Caenorhabditis elegans: one gene and its partners. The protein of the gene in region 1 interacts with the protein of each later gene in a pairwise test. Each region holds a gene or a part of one and is shown in the gene's direction. Other genes may lie near its edges. The genes, in order: C47D12.2, col-120, gdi-1 and wts-1.

The links.
Region 2: the proteins of C47D12.2 (region 1) and col-120 interact in a two-hybrid assay, tested with the Caenorhabditis elegans proteins (one large-scale study listed by BioGRID).
Region 3: the proteins of C47D12.2 (region 1) and gdi-1 interact in a two-hybrid assay, tested with the Caenorhabditis elegans proteins (one large-scale study listed by BioGRID).
Region 4: the proteins of C47D12.2 (region 1) and wts-1 interact in a two-hybrid assay, tested with the Caenorhabditis elegans proteins (one large-scale study listed by BioGRID).

What each region holds. Positions count from the first base shown.
Region 1 is NC_003280.10:11,674,397-11,679,721, forward strand, and holds C47D12.2 (Dymeclin), read left to right. Parts: upstream 1-1,909; 5' UTR 1,910-1,913; coding exon 1,914-2,056; intron 2,057-2,105; coding exon 2,106-2,252; intron 2,253-2,308; coding exon 2,309-2,517; intron 2,518-2,575; coding exon 2,576-2,663; intron 2,664-2,710; coding exon 2,711-2,952; intron 2,953-3,014; coding exon 3,015-3,502; intron 3,503-3,552; coding exon 3,553-3,669; intron 3,670-3,980; coding exon 3,981-4,172; intron 4,173-4,222; coding exon 4,223-4,666; 3' UTR 4,667-4,801; downstream 4,802-5,325. Other genes in the region: trr-1 (Transcription-associated protein 1), read right to left, coding at 1-91, 137-435, 490-1,275, 1,323-1,460; sfxn-1.4 (Sidoreflexin), read right to left, coding at 4,805-5,171, 5,217-5,325.
Region 2 is NC_003282.8:9,260,100-9,263,694, reverse strand, and holds col-120 (Nematode cuticle collagen N-terminal domain-containing protein), read left to right. Parts: upstream 1-1,907; 5' UTR 1,908-1,941; coding exon 1,942-2,018; intron 2,019-2,068; coding exon 2,069-2,153; intron 2,154-2,199; coding exon 2,200-2,299; intron 2,300-2,346; coding exon 2,347-3,026; 3' UTR 3,027-3,085; downstream 3,086-3,595. Other genes in the region: flh-1 (FLYWCH transcription factor 1), read left to right, coding at 1-218, 267-1,037, 1,084-1,593.
Region 3 is NC_003282.8:14,790,587-14,794,733, reverse strand, and holds gdi-1 (Rab GDP dissociation inhibitor), read left to right. Parts: upstream 1-1,883; coding exon 1,884-2,922; intron 2,923-3,198; coding exon 3,199-3,452; intron 3,453-3,509; coding exon 3,510-3,596; downstream 3,597-4,147. Other genes in the region: coq-3 (Ubiquinone biosynthesis O-methyltransferase, mitochondrial), read left to right, coding at 1,114-1,274, 1,327-1,524; melo-1 (RRM domain-containing protein), read right to left, coding at 4,071-4,147.
Region 4 is NC_003279.8:10,291,921-10,299,545, reverse strand, and holds the start of wts-1 (Serine/threonine-protein kinase WARTS homolog), read left to right. Parts: upstream 1-1,618; 5' UTR 1,619-1,699; coding exon 1,700-1,822; intron 1,823-2,786; coding exon 2,787-3,044; intron 3,045-3,425; coding exon 3,426-3,683; intron 3,684-4,198; coding exon 4,199-4,407; intron 4,408-4,465; coding exon 4,466-4,571; intron 4,572-4,617; coding exon 4,618-4,725; intron 4,726-4,969; coding exon 4,970-5,536; intron 5,537-5,819; coding exon 5,820-6,160; intron 6,161-6,314; coding exon 6,315-6,675; intron 6,676-6,724; coding exon 6,725-6,916; intron 6,917-7,203; coding exon 7,204-7,407; 3' UTR 7,408-7,467; coding exon of another isoform or gene 7,468-7,625. Other genes in the region: T20F10.2 (Si:ch211-1a19.3), read right to left, coding at 38-155, 202-271, 1,209-1,237. UniProt on the Caenorhabditis elegans protein: Phosphorylates yap-1 which may negatively regulate yap-1 nuclear localization. Plays an essential role in larval development.

The sequences.
Region 1 (5,325 bases):
GGCCAGTGAGTTGAGCAGCCGAGCAGACATAATCTGGACTTGAGAAGAGTTGTTAGGATCGTGAAGAGTGCGACAGAATACGAAAATCACGCTGAAATTTCAACATTTTTCATCAGAAAGTCTTATTCAAACTTACTGTGTGATCATTTCATAGTCTATAGAATTTCGCATGTGATGCAACAGATCTGCTAGCATTTGATACATGAAAACTCGCAAATGCTCAATCGCAGTGAATCCTGTTCCCAGAACAACCTCCTCAGCGATGAGTCGAGGTAGCATTGGAAAGAATTTCGACTTCATTTCTCCAGATGTGAAATACTTCAAAGCCATCAGAACTTCTCGTCGGACACTTATCAGATCAGCCGGGCACCGCTCGAGCATCTGCATTGTTCCCGACACTAGAAGCGGTCCATTTTGCATGATAAGATCCATAAACTGAAAAATAAAAATCAGGATTACAGAAAAAAAACTTGAAAAAACGAAACTTACCGCTGGAATCTTAGCCATAATGTTGACGAATGACAGGAATCGGGACTGTGCACTGACAAAATCATCGGTTATTATTTGATTTGTTTTGAGTTTATCCTCGTCTGGAACTCTGACATTTAGAAAATCAAGACCAAGCCTCATGAAATCAAGCGCTTCGGTTTGGATCGCTGTTTTGAAATGTTGATAGAAGAAAATCACGAGATACGGAACCTCCAGGAGCACCTTCGTTGACTGATGAGCTGATGGAATCATATTGTATTTTAATGGCGGTTTTCCTTCCGTTCCGTTGAGAAGAACCGTTTGTTGATAGTAGCAAGTCTTCAAATATTCAGTGATGACTTGCTCGTCGGAGCTAGTTGACGGTGGAGCTTTATGCTCTTTTATGTTGAACATATCACCAGCTCGACCACTCGCCGTCAGATCAATGACCATTGTTTTGAAGGAGACCATTATCTGTGAAACCTCTCCGCAATATTGCATTTTGCCGGTACTTCTCCCTTGATCGGTGACAATTTTGATAGCCAAATTGGCATTCTCCTCATTTTCCACGGTGATTAGCCTCATCATCTGCTTGATAATTTCTTTGCTATGATGTTTCATGGCTTCTACGTTCGAAAGTCGAAGAATGATTTCAAGCATTAACTTTCGAAGCTGTTGTGTATTGTTTTCAGCAATGAACTGTGGACTTGTGTTGCAGAAAACTTGTAGGAACGAGAGAATGAGCCTCTCCACGACTTTCTCGTGCGAACTTAGTGTGAAATGATTTTCGATTGTGCTCCAAATCTCCTGCAACCGAACAAATTGATTACTTAACACGAATTATTGAAACTAACTTGTAACATTTTCAATTTGACATCATCTCTTTGTGAATTATCGGCAAGATTTTGAATTCTCGTTTCCAGCTCTGTTAGGTGATTACTCCGATCGGACTGCACAGACCGATAGCCTGGAGAAGCCATAGCCGGATCCATTTTGTATTAGTGACCAGCACTGAAGATACTTCTAAACTATTGAGCTTTGTGCAACTATTTGAATAATTTATCTGAAACAAGATTTACGTGTTTAATTCACTAAATTGCGAAGGAAACAGATTATAAAATGAAGAATGGAGTAGAATGAACTATTAGGAAGTGAATGCAACAAGAAAAATCAGTCAGAAAACGCTGAAATTATCGGAAAACTGACATTATTTCAGCAGAAACAAAGAAACAACTAAATTTCAAACGAGAGCGAATTGTCTGCTGACGCGTATGTGTGTGTGTTGGCGCACTCGCGGTTGTTGGCGCATTTCACGTGCATTGCCACGAACGAGAGAGGAGATTTTATTGAATAAAAAAGATGTGACCTGATTAATATTTGACCCTTTCTTGACTTTTTCTTTTATTTTTATGATTATTAACAGTGTAATAACAAATTTCAGACACATGGGATCAGTTATAACCAAGGAAACGGTCTTACAGGAGAATATTTATCTGAAGAAACTCAGCGGTTTGGAACCTGTCGACGATTATGACCCATTTTGGAACAAACTTCTCTCTTTCAGTCTCAAGTTTGATGATGACGACGAGTAAGGATTAAAATTAGGCAAAAGCTTTAAAAATGTTATAATCGTTTAGAGACACCCGAATCGCTTTGGAATCTGCTTTAGATGATCATCTTCAATGTCTAATGTACAATACACAAACAACAGGAAATTTCGCTGCATTTATTCGACTTTTCCTTCGCAGAGCCACAGAACTAAAAACATCAGAACAATGCGAAAAGTGAGTTGGAAAAAAAAATCATCATTATATTTAATTAAAGCTTTTTCTTATTTCAGTAAAATCTACTTATGGCAAACATCAAACGCTCTTCTCATTCTTCGTTACATCGCCAGATTTTTAACTCAACGTATGACGGAAAAAGAATTCGTGAGGATTTTCGCCAAAAGTCATGAGAGTACGGAAACCGAATCGTCGTCTACATCTTCCTCGTCGGATGAGGAAGATGATGACGAACAGAAATCAGAAAACGAAAATAATAATGGAGGTAAATAAGCTTCATTTAAAAAAAAAATTCAATAATAATCAAATTCTGACGTTTTCAGCGACAAAATATATCCCGATAGTTTTTCAAAACACTGCAGAAGAGTTCACGTATGAGCTGGTTTCGATTTTAATCAATATTTCTGTAAAGTGAGTTTTAAATTATTTTTTAAAAAATTGAATTAAAATAATTTCAGCGAAACAACATTGGCAATCCATGTCGAAGCAGTTCGATGTCTCCTAACTCTCCTGAGCTCTCAACTATATAATGAATCAATTGTGAATACTTCAATTGTCTTCAGATTCTTTATTGATGGATCATGTGCGAAACACGCAGCTTCGCTCACTAAAACTCTTCTTCTCAATTATTTGATCCACAATTCAGAGTATCACATGACTGTACAAAAGCCACAAGAGAGCATTGTTTTTGGATTAGCTTGTATGTCACTGAAAATCTTTTTTAATTCTTTATTAAATTAAAAAAAAAACACGATTTTTAAGCATCAATGTGGTCAATGGTCCAAATGGCAACTGGTATCGACTCCGCAGAGGAAGAAAAGAAGCCCCCACTTACTCTTGGAAACTTAAGCATCCTGCTTCTCCTCAATCTTTCATGCCATCAACCTCTCAATTCATCCAATCCATTCAAAGAAACCCTTGCTCTCTTCCAAAATGCTCAAGAAGTATCCACATTGCCTACTCAGATTGTGTCGTTCAAAATCGATTATAATGGATTATACGAAAGATTGTGTGCTACCGCTGGCCAGGAACCTCCGATGCTTCTACTCTACATGCTTCTACAGGCGAACTCGGGATTCCGGAACTATGTGTTGTCTCGGATCAACCTCGAGAATCTAGTTGTTCCTGTTCTTCGAATTCTTCACGACGGTGTCGCGACATCGAACAACTCTCACCATGTTTATCTTGCATTGATTGTCGCCTTGATTCTCAGTGAAGATGATATTTTCTGCAAGATTATACACGAGACGGTGAGTTTTCACTAGAAATGCTAAGATTATATTGAAGTATATATTTGCAGATGATCAAGGATCTCGGCTGGCTGGACAGTGATTTCAGTGTCCGCGAGATCTCTCTCGGAGGTTTGACAACTCTTGTGCTGGTTCGAGCAATTCAGAAGAATGCTTTGAAAACTAGAGTTAGTTGTTGCTACCAAGGGTGTCATTTTTCAATTTTTTTTTCGATTTTTTGACGTTTTTCAGTGGAAATCGAAAAATCGAAAAAAATGTTCAGAAAATTAACCATAAAATATGATTTTTTATCTAATTTTGTTTATATTGATAAGAACAAACATAAAAGTTTCATCTAAAAAGAAGAATAATGGCCAATATATCAAGCTCCTTTTTTAAAAATCGAAAAATCGAACAATTGAAAAAGCGAAAAACCGACAGTTGCTACCTGAAGATACAAAATTTTGTTTTTTTTTAAACCAAACTCAAATTTTTCCAGGACCGATATCTTCACACAAACTGCTTAGCTGCTCTTGCAAACATGTCAGCTTTCTTCAAAAATCTTGCTCCAATTGTTTGCCAAAGACTCATATCACTGCTTGATCTTCTAACAAAACGGCATGCTAAAATGGTGGATCATATGAGAGTCAGCAGTCAGAATGATGTTGCAGATGGACAGCCGATCAATTTCGTAAGTTCATATTTTGTTCAAAAATCCAAATAAAAAGTATAATATTTCAGCATGACGACATTACTGCTCTCGAAGAAGGAATTCGAACTCTCCTTGAGATCATCAACAGTGCACTTTGTGGAGGACTCCGTCACAATTCACACCTCATCTACAACCTTCTCTACCATCGTGCTCTATTCGATGCATACGTTCAGCACCCAATGTTCCAAGATCTTCTTGTTAACATCGCAGCAGTAATCTCTCACTTCTCGTCGAAAGTGATACATGTCCCAGCAGGCGATGGATCCACAATGCTGCAAATAATCGAGAAGGAGGCAAACATATGGCCAACCGATCGACTCGCAAAGTTCCCAGAATTGAAGTTCCGATACGTGGAGGATGAGTACACTGTCGATTTCTTTGTGCCATACGTCTGGAGGCTATCTGTTCAACATTCGGGAATCTACTTCGAAACATCAAGAATCAAAATATTTAACGCCCAAAGTATTGCTTGACCCTCAAATTGTTTTATTAATCGGTAAGCATAATGCCGGTAGTATTTATTCGGACGCAAATATTGATAAGTGGCCTTATTCATGTGATGATCATAAGATACCATAATAATGTACAATAAATCTATTATCTAATTGAGTTCAGAGTCCTTTGTTGTAGTACACCACTTTCGGGGGATTTGCCAACTTGTTGATATGATCTTGAAGTGAAAGCTCCAGCTTATCAACTTGAATTGAGCTTTTCTGTGGGAAAAGAGCACAACAAATTGGTGTGGAAAAAGCCAACATGAATCCACAGAGCAATGTTTGAAGAGGTGCAGCCATTCCAGGTGTATACCATGCAGTTTTGGAAAGTTGCTCCAAGATCACTGGTCCTAGAACCATATTTGGAACCGCCATTCCAACACGACTGAGCACAACTTGTGGAATAGCATGACCAGGTGCAACTGTTGAAAATCCCATTGTTCTACCTTCACCATCTTCAACTGGAATTCCATTTGTAAATTCTCTGAAACAAATAAATTATTAAAATGTCTTTTAATCTGATTCTCACTTGTTTCTCATCATAGGAATATTAATTGCATTGGCGAATGCAATAGCAGCAAATGGAACGAGACGAGCAAGAATCGGCGGAGCATTTTTCCACTTTTTGAGCATATAAT
Region 2 (3,595 bases), on another chromosome or scaffold:
CCAACATATCTTCTCCATCCCCTCCGTCGTCGTCTTCTCTTAATGCTCCAAGTCTTGCGGATGCTCCTGAAGTTAGATCCGATGATGGAGAAGCCGAAACTTCCGAACCATCGACTTCTGTCACAGCTGTACCAATGGAGATTGTGTCCCAAGCATCTACATCTGCTCCTGTTAACCAGTTGCTCGCGAGCGGAATTGATATGTCTAGCGTTATTAAAGTAAGTTTCCTCTATCCAAGATGTTATTTCATTTGATTGTTATTTCAGAACAACGCTGTTTTACAGGCACTTCTTGCCAGTGCCAGTGCCGGTGGATTCGGAGACAACGCAGGCCTCACCATGTCAAAATTATTGACCGCCGCTCTCGCCAATGGATCCACTGCGGTTGCTAAAAGAGATGCAGGTTCTCCACGTACTGATATCCCAAAGAAAACTCGTCTGAAAGTGTTTTCAAACGGATTTTTCATGACATTTGACAAGCTTTCATCATGTCAAAAGAAATATTTCTGGAGATGTGAATACAAGAACACTTGTAAAGCACGAATGCATACGGATATTGTTACTGAAAAGATCCTCACGTTTATCCATGAGCACAATCACAGTGCACCAATAGATGAAGAAGTTAGACTTTATGGATTGGACCCAACGAATATCGAAAGAAATCGTGTCTACATAGTTGGAAATGTTGCTGATCCAAATCAACGAAGAAAGATCCGAAAGCAAGTTGCGGATAGAGAAGCAGCTGCAAAGAGGCTCGTTCAACAGCAAGAAGAAGAACAACAGAAGCAACAAAGTGCATCATCAATTGTGGCGGCTCGAGCAGCTTATGCGCAAGCAATGCAGAATGGCTCAATACCCACATCTTCTGGGGTCGCGTCTTTTCTCCAGTCAACTTCGGCCACTGCTCCAATGACGTCTCATTCAATGCTCCTTGCGCAGATGCCATTTTTAAATAATATTAAAACGGAGATGTCAAATATGGTGAAAAACGAACAATTCACTCCTGAAAGATACACACAGCATATGTCTCCAAACTTGGTATGTCAACTTAGTGTTGAAAGTTTATTCTATAATAATTTTTAAGCCATTGCAGACCGCCACAATTGCTCCACTAATAATTCCAACAGAGAACTACGACTCACCTTCATATAGACAACCAGCAATCAAAAGAAAAGCTACTGATTTGACGAATGAAGAACATGATTTGAGAAGAGATCCGATGTTCCAGCCAACTTTCGAGCTTGCCAGAAAATTGAGAAAACTGTGGAAAGGAGAACCGAACAGATATCCAAGAACTACTACGACTCCGACTCATCATTTTGAATTCTTCCTTTCTAAAAATGATGGAACAGATGAGCATCTCTATGTTCCAATGAGAATCAATCTCCGTGATGAAGCACACTTAAAAGAGGCACTTCAAGACTTCTGTGGTCAACAATGTATCGGAATGCTTCTTTTCGGAATTTCACCAAAGATCAGTGTAATGTTCAATCAACCCATGTTGAATAATTGGGACAATAATCAATTCTTCCTGCTCGACATTTCAAATCCAAGCCGTTGGCGACTGATGTATGTGGATGATCAAGCTGTGTAATTTAACCGAATACTGATTGTTTTTTATATGTGTAAAATGTAAAATTTCCTCCACTCTCCACCTATCTCATTAAATATTTTCTGTGACATTTCTCCATCGAAACTGGTTTTTACCCAATGTAAACCTCATCCTAAGTCTACGATTCAATCTAAATCACATCTACCTCCCTTTTCCAGATGTTTTTTGAACCATTCCACTAATAATGTGTAATGTTATCTTTGACTTGCTATCAATTATCCTTATTTTTTAACGTGTTCTATCCGTTGTAGGATTGTAATAAAACAGTAAAGTGATAAGCGTGAATGATATAAAACACAGTTGAAAATGATTAGGTGATTGGAAGAAGAAATGAATTTGAAGAAGAATTTAGTGAATTCTGAAGAGGATGAACTTCGAAAAGTTGCTTTCGTGGCGACTGTTGTCAGGTATGTTCCGATTTCCACGTGGCAGAATAGTACAAGCTGGAAATTTTCAGTGCTGCTTCTGGAATCATGTGCATTATTCTAATTCCTGGGCTTTACACATATCTACAATATATTCAAAGCTCTGTTCAAACTGATGCAAGTGATTTCTATTCACATTTTGGTATTTATTCTGCATTTTTAGGTTGGATTTTGTGTTGACGGGGCTAAGAATCTGGAAAATATGTATGAATCAACGAAGGCTGTTGGTTCAGGGCCAGTAAAAAGACAAGCTGGATATGGAGGTAACTTGTAACTTTTGTGGGACTTTTTGAAACTAATTCAATATTAGCTTCTTCCCCCTCTCGAGCTTCTGGAAGTCATCCAGCTCCATCTCCATACGACGCTGCATCCACTTCTTCTTCATCTTCTTCCGATTCTTGTTGCAGCTGTGGAATTGGTCTTGCTGGGCCAGCAGGTTTCCCAGGTCGACCAGGACGAGATGGAATAGATGGACCAGCCGGAAAACCTGGACGAGATGGGCAAGATTTGGATGGAGAATCGTCTTCTGATGGATCACAAATTGAGCTTGATTGCCCAGCAGGACCACCAGGGCCACCAGGAAATCCAGGTCCTCAGGGTAATTCTGGGCGACCTGGAATGGATGGTATGCCTGGTAGAAATGGAAGATGCGGGAGACCAGGAGAGCAGGGAGAACGTGGACCAAATGGAGAAGATGGACGACCTGGAAGACGTGGAGACGATGGAATGCCCGGAACAGTTAACGAAATTCCAGGCCAAGCAGGTCCACCAGGTCTTCGTGGTGCTCCTGGAGCTACTGGATCGCAAGGACCACGTGGAAATGATGGTAGACCAGGAAACAAGGGACCAGCAGGACCACCTGGAGACCAAGGATTTGATGGAGCACCAGGAGGACCTGGAGCTGATGGAGAACCTGGAGCACAAGGACCTTTGGGAGCAAAGGGAGAATGTTCACACTGCCCACCTCCACGAACTGCTCCTGGATACTAATTTTTATCTGTTTTGTTGATTAGATTTAGTTTCTGTAAATAATGAACACTTTTAGCACTATTTACTTAAATTATTCAAAAAGTACAGTGACCTATCTGCGAAACACAACGCAAGACGAAGAGACACAGACATAAAAAACTACAATACTCCGTTCTGACGCTGCTCGTATTTTATTTTTTGCGTCTTATTTTTTTTAATTTTTGCACGTTTTGTTTAAAATTTACTTTAAATTTTTATTTAATGAATTCCCGACCTTAATTTTTGTAAAAATCGGTTTGCATTACACATTTTGTTAATATAAACTGTTAAAAATCAACTATCATCGCCCATACTTCTCCGAAATGAGCCAAAATTGAAATTTACGTCATGTTCTTCAACATTTAAAATCATTAGAAACGTTTGTTGATTTGAAATTAAAGTATAGCAATTTATTTGAAAACTCTCGTTTTCATGATATATGTACTGACAAATCTAAGGTAAATAATCAATTTCTAAGTTTAAAAGAGATCAAATTGTTTTCAGTTTAAGCATATTTAAATCTAAATCTTATCGGATTTCATTGTTTCTAG
Region 3 (4,147 bases), on another chromosome or scaffold:
CTTCACAGTTGACTTGAAATTGAGTCTTCTCGACGAATTTCCTTTCTTTTTTGTTGAAAAAAGTGTTGATCCAACCCAATTCAATTCGATTTCCGGTGCCCCCTTGGAATAATTTTGGATACAAAGCTTTCAACTCTTCTGTTCTGTTCTCTATTTCCCTATTTTGCTCGCCGTCTTCTCCTCCTCCACCCGTCCGGCTTCTCCTCTTCTTGGACATTTTATCGATTTTGTTCTTCTTCGGTGTTGTGTCTCTCTCTCTCTCCCCCCCCCCTTTTCGATGTGTGGGCCAACACAACAATCCCCACATTTCTGCGTCTCGTGTTCTCACCCTCATCCGGTTGTGTCTGCGTCTATGGCTTGTAGGTTCTCGAACTTTCAGTTCTAGATGTCCTAGACTTCAATTTTGAAGGTCTCAACTGGATATTATTACAGTTCGGAAGTCTTGAATAATACTAGATCCAACCCAGATGTCCTCAGATGTTATTTGATCTCTCCAGTCTCTCGCCGTCGCTCCCTTCTCTCAGTCCATTTTGGACGCTCATTTCGACCGCCATCCCGTTTGGGGTTAACCGCGGAGAGAGTGAGTGAGAAAGGGAATGAGCGCTCAAATTCACTCTCACTCACACTCACACGCAGCAGCATCATCTCGTAGACCCTCTCTGGTTGTTGCTGTCTCTGATGACAAACATTCCCTAACTGGGCGCCCCTGTGTTCGTCGTTGCCACGTGTCATTCTATGTCGGCGATTCGGCCATTTGAAGCTCGATCCACGTGTCGCTAGGACAGCTGACGTCATCTTTTCAACTATTATGTTTACTGCGATTATACGAATCAATTGGTGAAATTATTTAGAATAACCTATTTTTTGAGTTGTTTACGATTTTGAAGTCACTTGACTGAAAACTTTCACAGAAAAGGTCTTAAATGAAATGAAACTCTTGCGTAGACTTGATGAAGTTCTGTGAAACTCCTACGTACTCTTGAATAGTAATCGAAAATTATTGATTTCTACTTCCAATCTACTCAAAAGTTAAAAAATATTTCGCAACACATCTTTTCCCCATTCTTTTCTGTATTTTTTAGCAATTTACCTTAAAATCTTCAATAATTCCAGCCTACGATGCAGTCGTCGCTTCGGAAATTGTCGAACACGTCGCCGATCTTCCCGGATTCATTGGCTGCCTCGCTGAGCTGGCTCGCCCCGGTGCCCCGCTCTTCATCACAACTATCAACAGAACGTGGCTGAGCAAATTGGCAGCTATTTGGCTTGCAGAGGTTTGATTTTTTTCTTTCTTTTTTTTTTGGAAATAAATTTGAAAATTTTCAGAATGTACTCAAAATCGTGCCGCCCGGAGTCCACGACTGGGAAAAATTCATCACACCCGCCGAGCTCACTTCACATCTCGAAAAAGCGGGTTGCCGGGTGACGGCGGTGCATGGATTAATGTTTCATCCGGTTGGAAATCACTGGACATGGATCGAATCGACTCAGTGTAATTACGGAATTTTGGCAGTGAAGAATTAGATTTGAAGATTTTTTGTTTAGTGTTGCTAGTTTTTTTTTCATGTTTCCATATGTTACTGGTGCTATTTTTTTTAATTTTCAAAAAAAAAAATAATTTGAGACCTAACTCTTTTAAATGTCAAACAATTGGGTTTGATCTACCCGCAAAATATCTGATTTTCAACAACTTTATTCTCTGCGTCTCTCCCTCCCTCCCTCTCACTCTCTTTCTTCAGTTTTTATAATTATTTTCTTGAATTCTAAAATTTCCTTTTTGAAATTCAACTTTTCTTTCAGTTTCTCTTTCCCCGCAATTTTCCAAATCACAATCCGATCAATTTTCAGGAGTTCCAACCAATTCCCCGAAAAACTCGCTCGAAATGGATGAGGAATACGATGCCATCGTTCTCGGAACCGGCCTCAAGGAGTGCATCATCTCGGGAATGCTGTCGGTTTCCGGAAAGAAGGTTCTCCACATTGACCGAAACAACTATTATGGAGGAGAGTCAGCTTCACTGACTCCACTTGAGCAACTCTACGAGAAATTCCACGGTCCACAAGCCAAGCCACAACAGGAGATGGGACGTGGACGTGACTGGAACGTCGACTTGATTCCAAAGTTTTTGATGGCCAACGGGCCATTGGTCAAGCTTCTCATCCATACTGGAGTCACTCGCTACTTGGAATTCAAGTCGATTGAGGCCTCGTTCGTTGTGAAGGGTGGAAAGATCTACAAGGTGCCGGCCGATGAGATGGAGGCTCTTGCCACTTCCCTTATGGGAATGTTCGAGAAACGTCGCTTCAAGAAGTTCCTCGTCTGGGTGCAACAATTCGATGAGAACAAGGAGGACACTTGGCAAGGACTTGACCCACACAACAGCACAATGCAGCAGGTTTACGAGAAGTTTGGCCTTGACGAGAACACCGCCGATTTCACCGGACACGCGCTGGCCCTCTACCGTGACGATGAGCACAAGAATCAACCATACGCTCCAGCTGTTGAGAAGATCCGATTGTACTCTGACTCATTGGCTCGTTATGGAAAGTCACCATACTTGTACCCATTGTACGGATTGGGAGAACTTCCACAGGGATTCGCTCGTCTCTCGGCCATCTACGGAGGAACCTACATGCTCGACAAGCCAGTCGACGAGATTGTGATGGAGAATGGAAAGGCTATTGGAGTCAAGTGTGGAGATGAGATTGTCCGTGGAAAGCAGATCTACTGCGATCCCTCATACGCCAAGGATCGTGTCAAGAAGACTGGACAAGTTGTCCGAGCCATTTGTTTGTTGAACCATCCAATTCCAAATACAAATGATGCTCAATCCTGCCAGATTATCATTCCACAAAAGCAAGTTGGAAGACATTATGGTAAATTTATAGTCTTGGAAAAGCAGCGCGTCGCACAGAAAAGAGGTAGGGCGTAATTTTGCAATCTTGCGGCACGGGTTTTTCCTACTTTTTTTGTTAATGTTTGAATGAAAATATTATCGAATTTAATTATCCGAAGACTAAAATAGTCTCACGATCCTATGAGAATTAGGTAAAATTGAAACTTTATTGAAAAATAAATTAAAAGGAGGAAAAACCGAGCCGCCGGTTTGCCAATTTACTCTCCGCCTCTTTTTCTGTGCGACTCGCTGCTTTTTGCAAAACTCACGCTTTCAGCATCACTAATTCCCTTTTTTTCAGACATCTACATCTCATGCTGCTCCAACACGAACATGGTGACACCAAAGGGATGGTATTTGGCAATGGTCTCCACCACTGTCGAGACAGCCAATCCAGAGGCTGAAGTTCTTCCAGGACTTCAACTTCTTGGCGCAATTGCCGAGAAGTTCATTCAGATTTCCGATGTTTATGAGCCATCTGACTTGGGATCTGAGTCACAGATCTTCATCTCTCAATCTTATGATGCTACGACTCACTTTGAAACCACTTGCAAGGTAATTTAAAGAATTTAAAACAATTTTTGAAAGAAATTATAATTATTCATTTTTCAGGACGTGCTCAACATGTTCGAACGTGGAACGACCAAAGAATTCGACTTCACCAACATCACTCACTTGTCGTTGAATGATCAGGAATAATTGAATATCCATTCCCTTCTTTTGAGTACTCTGATTTGACGCTTCTGATGCTGCTTTTGCTCTTTTTTGTCGCCTCTATAAAAAAAACGATTCCCGTTCCGTTTGTTTCTCCTGTCCAATGTTCATTTTCAACCGATTTTAATTTATTGTATTTTCTCTTTTCCAGTCTCTATCCTCATGTGATTCCCCGAGAACCCTTTTTTTAAATTTCAATTTTCGTCCCGAAAACAAAATTTCTTCCCACTATTTCCTTTGTATTTAACTTTACAATTCCCAAACAAAGTCCGCTTCGTAAATCTATAAATCACTTTATCCTTTTGAAGTACTTCATTACAGAAATACAATTATTATCACGATCAGAAAGTTTGGATAGGATGGGATTACATTTGATGAAGGGAGATCATTTCCATTTGAAAATTGGAGAAGAATAAGCATATATGTTTTTACATAATTGATTAAAGAAAAAATCCCAGTTTAAGCCATCACAAGCAGAGCATCGAGCTGATCATCGACACGTTGCATCATCTTTTTGTACAAATCCTCCATATTCT
Region 4 (7,625 bases), on another chromosome or scaffold:
TACTATATTTTCAGATAAACGGCAGAAAATTACTAACCAACAAGCTTTCCTTTGGTGAGACTCAGCTGGGCGGATAGTTGTCGAACTTCTTCGTTTGTCTGGGATAAAACTTCTCCTTGAGCTTGATATACGTAGAATGCGTAAAAGAATAATACCTGCAAAAAGTGTATAATTTCATTGACTTCTTGTTAATTATATTACCAGGCAAATAAGAAATACAAAAAGGGGCCAATTCCTCATTGTAGTAGGACGATCCGAGTGTGAACTGCTCCTGAAAGAAAAAAAATTGAATATTTATTTAAACGTTGTCCTTCTATGTATCTATATGTTTGTTTAATGGTTACAAAAAAGGGAAAAGCCACGCGACATCTGCGGCGCACCGTTTCGTTTTTATGCAAACGGAAGACTGCGTGGATGTCATAGATACAAAAAGGAAAGAGACATCGATTTTTGATAGGCTGACGAATGCAAAAAAACGGAGATTAAAGGGGATTTGTAGTAGAATTAGAGGAAATGCATAGTTGTTTGATTTAAAAAATCATCAAAATTCATAAAAACACAGAAAACTGAGTCAATACAAGAAAATTCGAGTATCAAGCTTATGTCTACTGTTATTTTTTCAAAACTGCATTTTAAATAAGAAAAACTACAGAGTTGTGACTCTTTCAGTAGTAATATATAGAGTTATCATTCCAGTGAAAAAATTACAACTCCAATTTCCAGTTTTAACCTAAAATCACTTGAGTACGTATTTCTAATTCAATTACAAAAGCTGATGATGTACTATAGCACTTACTGGGTCTTATGCAAAATTACAGAAACAATTTGAAAACTTGGTTGAGAATTTAAGCCAGAGTAATTTTTTTGTCGGAAAATTCCAATATTCAGTATTTAAAATATAGATGTTGAAGGTAATATATATTCTCAAAAGTACGCAGGCACAGTCGACAGTAACAGGGGCGCCTGGAGTGCCTCTCCACTACCGGCGAGGGCAAGGAGCACCCCTTTTCTACAGATGTTAAAAATTTGTTTTAAATTCAGTAAAGCTGGTGAATTTTACAAATTGTGCACATTTTTGAATCCGGAAAATTTTCAACACTTCGAAGTTGTTCTCAAAATCGGCTTTCAATTCAAATTTTAAACAGGAAAACATCTTTAAAAATATTTGTTCAAACACAGAGTTTTATAAAAAGCTTCTAAAAACTTACCGTATGAGAGGCTTTCTGCTGGATGACATGACGGGGGGATACCGGCAAGTATGTCTTTTCGACGGGCGATGATGGCCGCTGATGATACGGCGAGAGGTTCCGAGACACAGGCGTCCTAAATGTGTTGGAAACTAAACGGCAGAAAATGAGCACTAGAAGGTTGGAGAGTCGGGGAGAGATGTTAGAGTGACGAGGGATGAGGAATGTTGGAAGAGACAACACGAGAGAATAAGACAAAGAGAGATGTCCTGCAAAAGAGAGTAAAGACTTTTCTCCTCTTCCTGCGGGAGTCAGAGAGAGAGCGGCGGGAAGCAAAGAGACCACATAACGATAAGAGACACAGAAAGTTTTGTATCACTGTCTCTCTCATCATTTCATTCTATCTCTTCACCTTCTTCTTCTTCTACTTCAATCCATTCCCATCGCCTTCTCCGTGTGTGTGTTTGTCAGTGTTCGGCAGGAGGCCCTCCTTTGCATTGTATTCCCCTGGAATGCGACCTGCTGCCCCTGGTACTACTCCAAATGGTGCATCTTCTGATATCAGACATCAACGTGGAGTTGCTCCGATCCCATTTGGCTCTACTAATTCAGCGATAGATGCCCATCACAATTCAGTAGGTTTTGGTTTGGAAAAGTGATTGGGTTATTGATTCAGATCTTGATCTGTTTGGCTTGATCACTCCCTAGATTTTCAGCTGAACCATGTGTCATTTGAAAGAGGACCTTTAAACTAGATCGTTGTAAATTTTAAGCGGCAAAGTGTCACGATCTGAAACTTTTTAGTGCTCTTTTCACAACTTTCGAGAGCTGTAGACTTGCTCCAAAAGCTATTTTTTGCAGACATGTTGTTTTTCAGTGATTAAGAGCAATTGAAAATTCTAGGAGTTTTAATAAAATTTTTAAAAATGTTCTCCCCCTAATCAACTCGATCAAAATGCTTTCAGATTTCCGTTTAAAAAATTATTTAACTTAAAAATTACCTCTAGCATTTTCGGACCAATTTTTTCTAGTTCAAAATGCTCTTCTGTTGCTAAATTTTTTGTGGGGTCCTATTCAAAAGGTCTTCTTTTAAATTATATTGGCTTTGCTATTGTTTGTAAATACATCTATAATCGCAAATCATTTTTTTTTGCAGTTCCATGTTTTTTTTTCCTGATTTGAATTTCAAAATCTGTTCAAGATTCGTAGAACTCATTAAAATTTAAAAAAAAATCCTCAAAATTACTTCACCCTTTCTTATTCAACACTTTGGCGTTCCGAGACAATGCGGGGCTTTCATGGCAGACGTTATCACTTGGAATGGCGGTTTTGATAAGAAAATGAAATCACCTAAAATTCCATTTAGAAGCATCACCTTTTAATAGTTTCGTAATCAATGAATCAGTATTTTTCATATGAAAAATATATAAATTGCTCAGAAAAATGTACAATTTCAGTGTTGAAACATTGAAAACTTCCATAGAAACGCAAAGTTTTTTGCTTTAAAGAAATCCTTTTTTTACAAAAATTCTAAAAAATTCGCATCTGGGCAGTGGTACCATAATTTGGCATAACTAATTAAACCAATTGTTTTTCCAGGAAATCCGCGTGGGGCGTCATCGTGCAAAACTCGACGAAATTCGCGAATCGCTGAAAGCTTACGAACATGAAGCCGGTTTATTATCAAGTCACGTGGCTCTTGGATCACTTGCAACACCGTCAAGTTCTTCCGTCAGCCATTCTGACATCACCAATGACAATGCGGAAGTGATGAATTTTTCGTCTTCTTCTTCAAATGCAGCAGCGACGACGACGACAGTCTCGAGCGCTGCTGTATCAAATTCGAATTCTTTTAGAGTGAGTCACATTTCTTTTTTTTTAATCAAAAATGGTCCTGGAAATCGAATGGAAAAACATTTTGAGAGTAAAAAATAAAATTCGATTGGCTGGGAAAATTGTCCGTCAAATTTTCCGTCTAGGTCAGTTCGTATGCCCAAAAAAAACATAACTTTTTTGAAATTTATACATAGACCGGCCGAAAGCGTCATATTTTTCTTCGAAAAAAAAAAGAATGGAATTGTAGCAAACTAGCTAGAAATTCTATTGAATAAAAAATTATGAAATAGGTGGCTCAGCTCAACTTTGGGATTTTATGAAAATTGTCAACTATGAATCGATTTATGATCTTCAAAAGTGGTGAAGGGTGGTGGTTCAAAAGTGAAAAAATCATATTTTCAGACAGAAGGTGGTGGTCACAAGATGCGGATAACACCAATGCCACAAAGACATTTAATGATGGATACTGGTGCCAATGAGACAGTATTTCGAAGTGGAAAAGAGATGATTCGAAATGGAAATCCATCAACAACTATATCATCAACACCTTCTACAACAACTGAAGAGTCGATTAGGATACATCCTGCTGGATATCGATATGATATGCCAACTCCTGCATATCATATGAATAACAATGCACCACAATACTCACCAGGATATGTAAGTTGTTCTCGAAAAAATATAATACTAAAGAATCGGAAAGTACTTTTTCTGAGAAGTCCCACTTAAAATTTTGTTTTAAAAAAATTGGTTTGCGGTGGTTCAGTTTTGAAAAAAGTCCAAATTGTCAATGCGATTATCACTTTTCATATTTTGGTCGTTCGTTCCATGTTTTTCTGTTGATTTGGCTACATTTTCGGTCACATATTTGATAATATTTAGTGCACCCGTAAACTGAAAAGGCACTTTAATCAACGGCGAGACACGTGTGAACAACTAAAATTAGTAACAAAATATACTTCCAAATTGACAAAGTTTGAAAGTTTAAGCTGAAAAGAAAATGGACCAAAACTTTCTTTGAAAAATACTCCTAGTTCAAGCAATAGGGGGACCTTCTTGTGACCTGTTCATAACTTCTGAAATTTTTTTTGTAAAATAAATTAAAGAGTCCAATAAAGTACACACAAACACCCCTAGTAGGCAGACCTGACACTTTAATAAATGAAAATTTTCAGTCTCGACCACCTCCACCAGCCTACGATTCATCTCCGGTGAACACTAGAATGACTCCAGTTGCAACAGACAACTACCGTACTCACCTGCATATGAAAGTTCATCCTGTTGTAAAAGCGCCACCACCGAATCCAACAATGCTCAATCACAACAAGAATATGGCACCCCCACCGCCTCCTCCAGCAAAATCTACGATTTCCATCGAGACAATGTAAGTTTTCTAAACGATATCAGAAGGATTCTATAAATCTTTTGCTTTAACTTTTCAGGAGTGAAGAACGAAAAGCAGATAATATCCAGAGACTTTATCATACATCAATGGACAAAAAAACAGCTAGTAGTGTTGTTAGTATCAATGTTGCTTCTCCTCATACGGTATTTTATGACCTCAAATGATATTAAAATTCATTTTTAATTTCAGACAAAAGTAAATGTTGGTGATAGTCCTCTTCCAAGCAAATCATTCATTATTGGTCCACGGTATACAGCTGATGTCGATAGGAAGAATTTTGTCAACTATAAAGATGAGGTAAATTTGAGAAAAATTCAACTCCTACCTTCTGAAATATTTAACTGATATTTCTAGAGTCATTTTTTTGACAGAGCTCATAAAATATAAGAGACTAAAAGTTTTGTCTTCGCAGACACCCATAATCAGCAAAAATTTGCAAAACTACTTTAGAATCGGTTTCGAGAGCCCAGTTGAATTTTATGAATAGAACAATAATTGTTATAAAGTTCGGGGATAAACCCTAAAAATAAAATGATTTCAGCTGCGTCCCGACCCTCGCCTGATTCCATCCACTTCCGATGCAAATCATGAAGATTTCCGGCCGATCCTTTTCAAACCAAGAAATCTCGAAATCACAATGAAATCACGTGCTCAACCTCCTCCTCCTCAATACAATCAACCCAGTGAGCCACCTCCGAAACGAGTCAGCTCCCCAATTGATCGAACACTTTTGGAACCATACATCAAGAATACACGAAGAGTTCAACCATGTAAACCAAATATGCTTCGATTTTATATGGAACAACATGTTGAACGACTTCTACAGCAATATAAAGAACGAGAAAAACGAATGAAACAGTTGGAAAAGGAGATGGTTTCAGCTCAATTACCGGATATTATGAGGAATAAAATGCTGGGATTACTTCAACAAAAAGAGTCAAAATATACGAGATTAAGAAGACAAAAGATGAGTAAAAGCCATTTCACTGTCATCTCACATATTGGTGTTGGAGCATTTGGAAAAGTTTCATTGGTTCGAAAAAATGATACTCGGAAGGTTTATGCAATGAAAAGTTTGGAAAAAGCGGATGTCATAATGAAACAACAGGTAGGATTTGTTATTTGTTTAGGATCTTGGTTTAAAAATTTGAAAATATTGGTGTCCTACGTTTGAAATAAAACCTTGAATAGAAAGTAAGAAAACTGCAAAGTCTAACATTTTTGATACTCTAGGTTTTTTTTTTTTAATTTAATTGATTCTATATTTGCTACTAGTAGGAAAATATATCAGATATATTGTGAGTCTAGTAGTTTTTAAAATGTGACTGTAAAGCGATATGATCGAAAAATAATTTCAAAACTTTTTGACTAAAAACACCATTTTCTTTCAGGCCGCCCATGTGAAAGCCGAACGCGATATTCTGGCAGAAGCTGATTCTCCTTGGATTGTTCGTCTTTTCTTCTCATTTCAAGATGATGCTTGTCTATACTTCATAATGGAATATGTTCCCGGAGGAGATATGATGACTTTATTGATTCAAAAAGGAATATTTGAAGAAGATCTCGCTAGATTCTACATTGCTGAACTGGCATGTGCAATTGAATATGTTCATAATGTTGGATTTATTCATAGAGATTTGAAACCGGATAATATTCTAATTGATCAACATGGACATATTAAGTTGACTGATTTTGGATTGTGCACTGGTTTGAGGTGGACTCATGACAGAAGGTAAGATTATGTATTGTTTATTTGTCACGAGAAAGAGAGGGTGTCTAATGGAATAGAGCCTAGGCGCGACGCAAATGATTAATTGTAGTTGGTGTGCTCAACATCTGTGCAAAAAATATTTAAGTCACACATGAAACCATCCAATATTTTCTAGATACTATGGACCTGAAAACGACCATCATCGTGTCGATTCATTCTCGCTTCCTCCTGAAGTTGCAGCTATTGATAAAAGCGTTAAAGTTCTAAATGTTCGACAACAAACCCGCCGGATAACCGCCCATTCTCTTGTTGGAACAGGAAATTACATGGCACCCGAAGTAATTGCCAAAACCGGGCACAATCAGAGTTGTGATTGGTGGTCGACTGGAGTGATTTTGTATGAGATGGTATTTGGAAGAGTGCCATTTCATGATGATACACCTGGTGGAACACAACATCGAATTAAGAATTGGAGAAACTTCCTTGATTTTACATATTGTGGAAATCTATCAAAAGAGTGCCTTATGATGATTCAAGTAAGTTTTTTTGTTTAAATAGACGTTGTGAAGACCAAAACTTTTTCAGCAACTAATTTGTGACGCGTCGTCAAGATTGGGATCTCACGGGAAGGATGTTGCCGAACGAACGGCACAAGTCAAAAATCATCCATGGTTCAGGGGAATTGACTGGGTTAACTTGAGAAAACTGAGAGCTGATTATATTTATATTCCTCGGGTCACTCACGATGAAGACACTTCTAATTTTGAAACGTTTCAAGTGAGTTTTTCCTTTTAAACTTTGTTTAGAGTGTCTAAAAAAGTTAGATATAATTTTATGTATGTAGACATAAAAAAGATAGCATCAAAATTATGAATATTTGAGTTTGAAATACAGAATTTTTATTTGAATTAAAGTAAATTAATTGTGGAGTTTCTGAAACTATTATACATAGCAGCTCCAATAAAAACATAATTGAGTTTCACTACTCAAATTTTTAACTTAAATTTGGAATCTTGAAAAGTTTTCTTTCAAAACCTATCACACTTCTAATTCCAAATTTCCAGGACAATGACCGTGCTGACAAGCCGAATGTGCGAGGTCTTCATAATCCAGCCTTCTATGAATTCACTTATCGTCATTTCTTTGATACGGATTCTGTTGGTTGCCCATCACTTCGACCATCTCGTCGTCGGTCACTTCGGCCATTACTTGAAAACGGAACTTTTAATGAGTCAGTGTCGGAAGAAGATTCATCGTCTCATATTTAAAAGAGCATGAATTTGTTTATTGATTATATTATATATGATTTTAATGTGATGTTTTAGTATCATTTTTTACTCATTTTGCTTCTATTTTTATCTTTAATTTTCCAAATTACCCTCTTTACTAATTCTGTGATGATCTCGATACGGTTTTCAGAATTCGAGATATTTTTAATATCTCTTTTCTTTTCTCTTTTTCTCTCATGTCGCCACACTATTTCGTT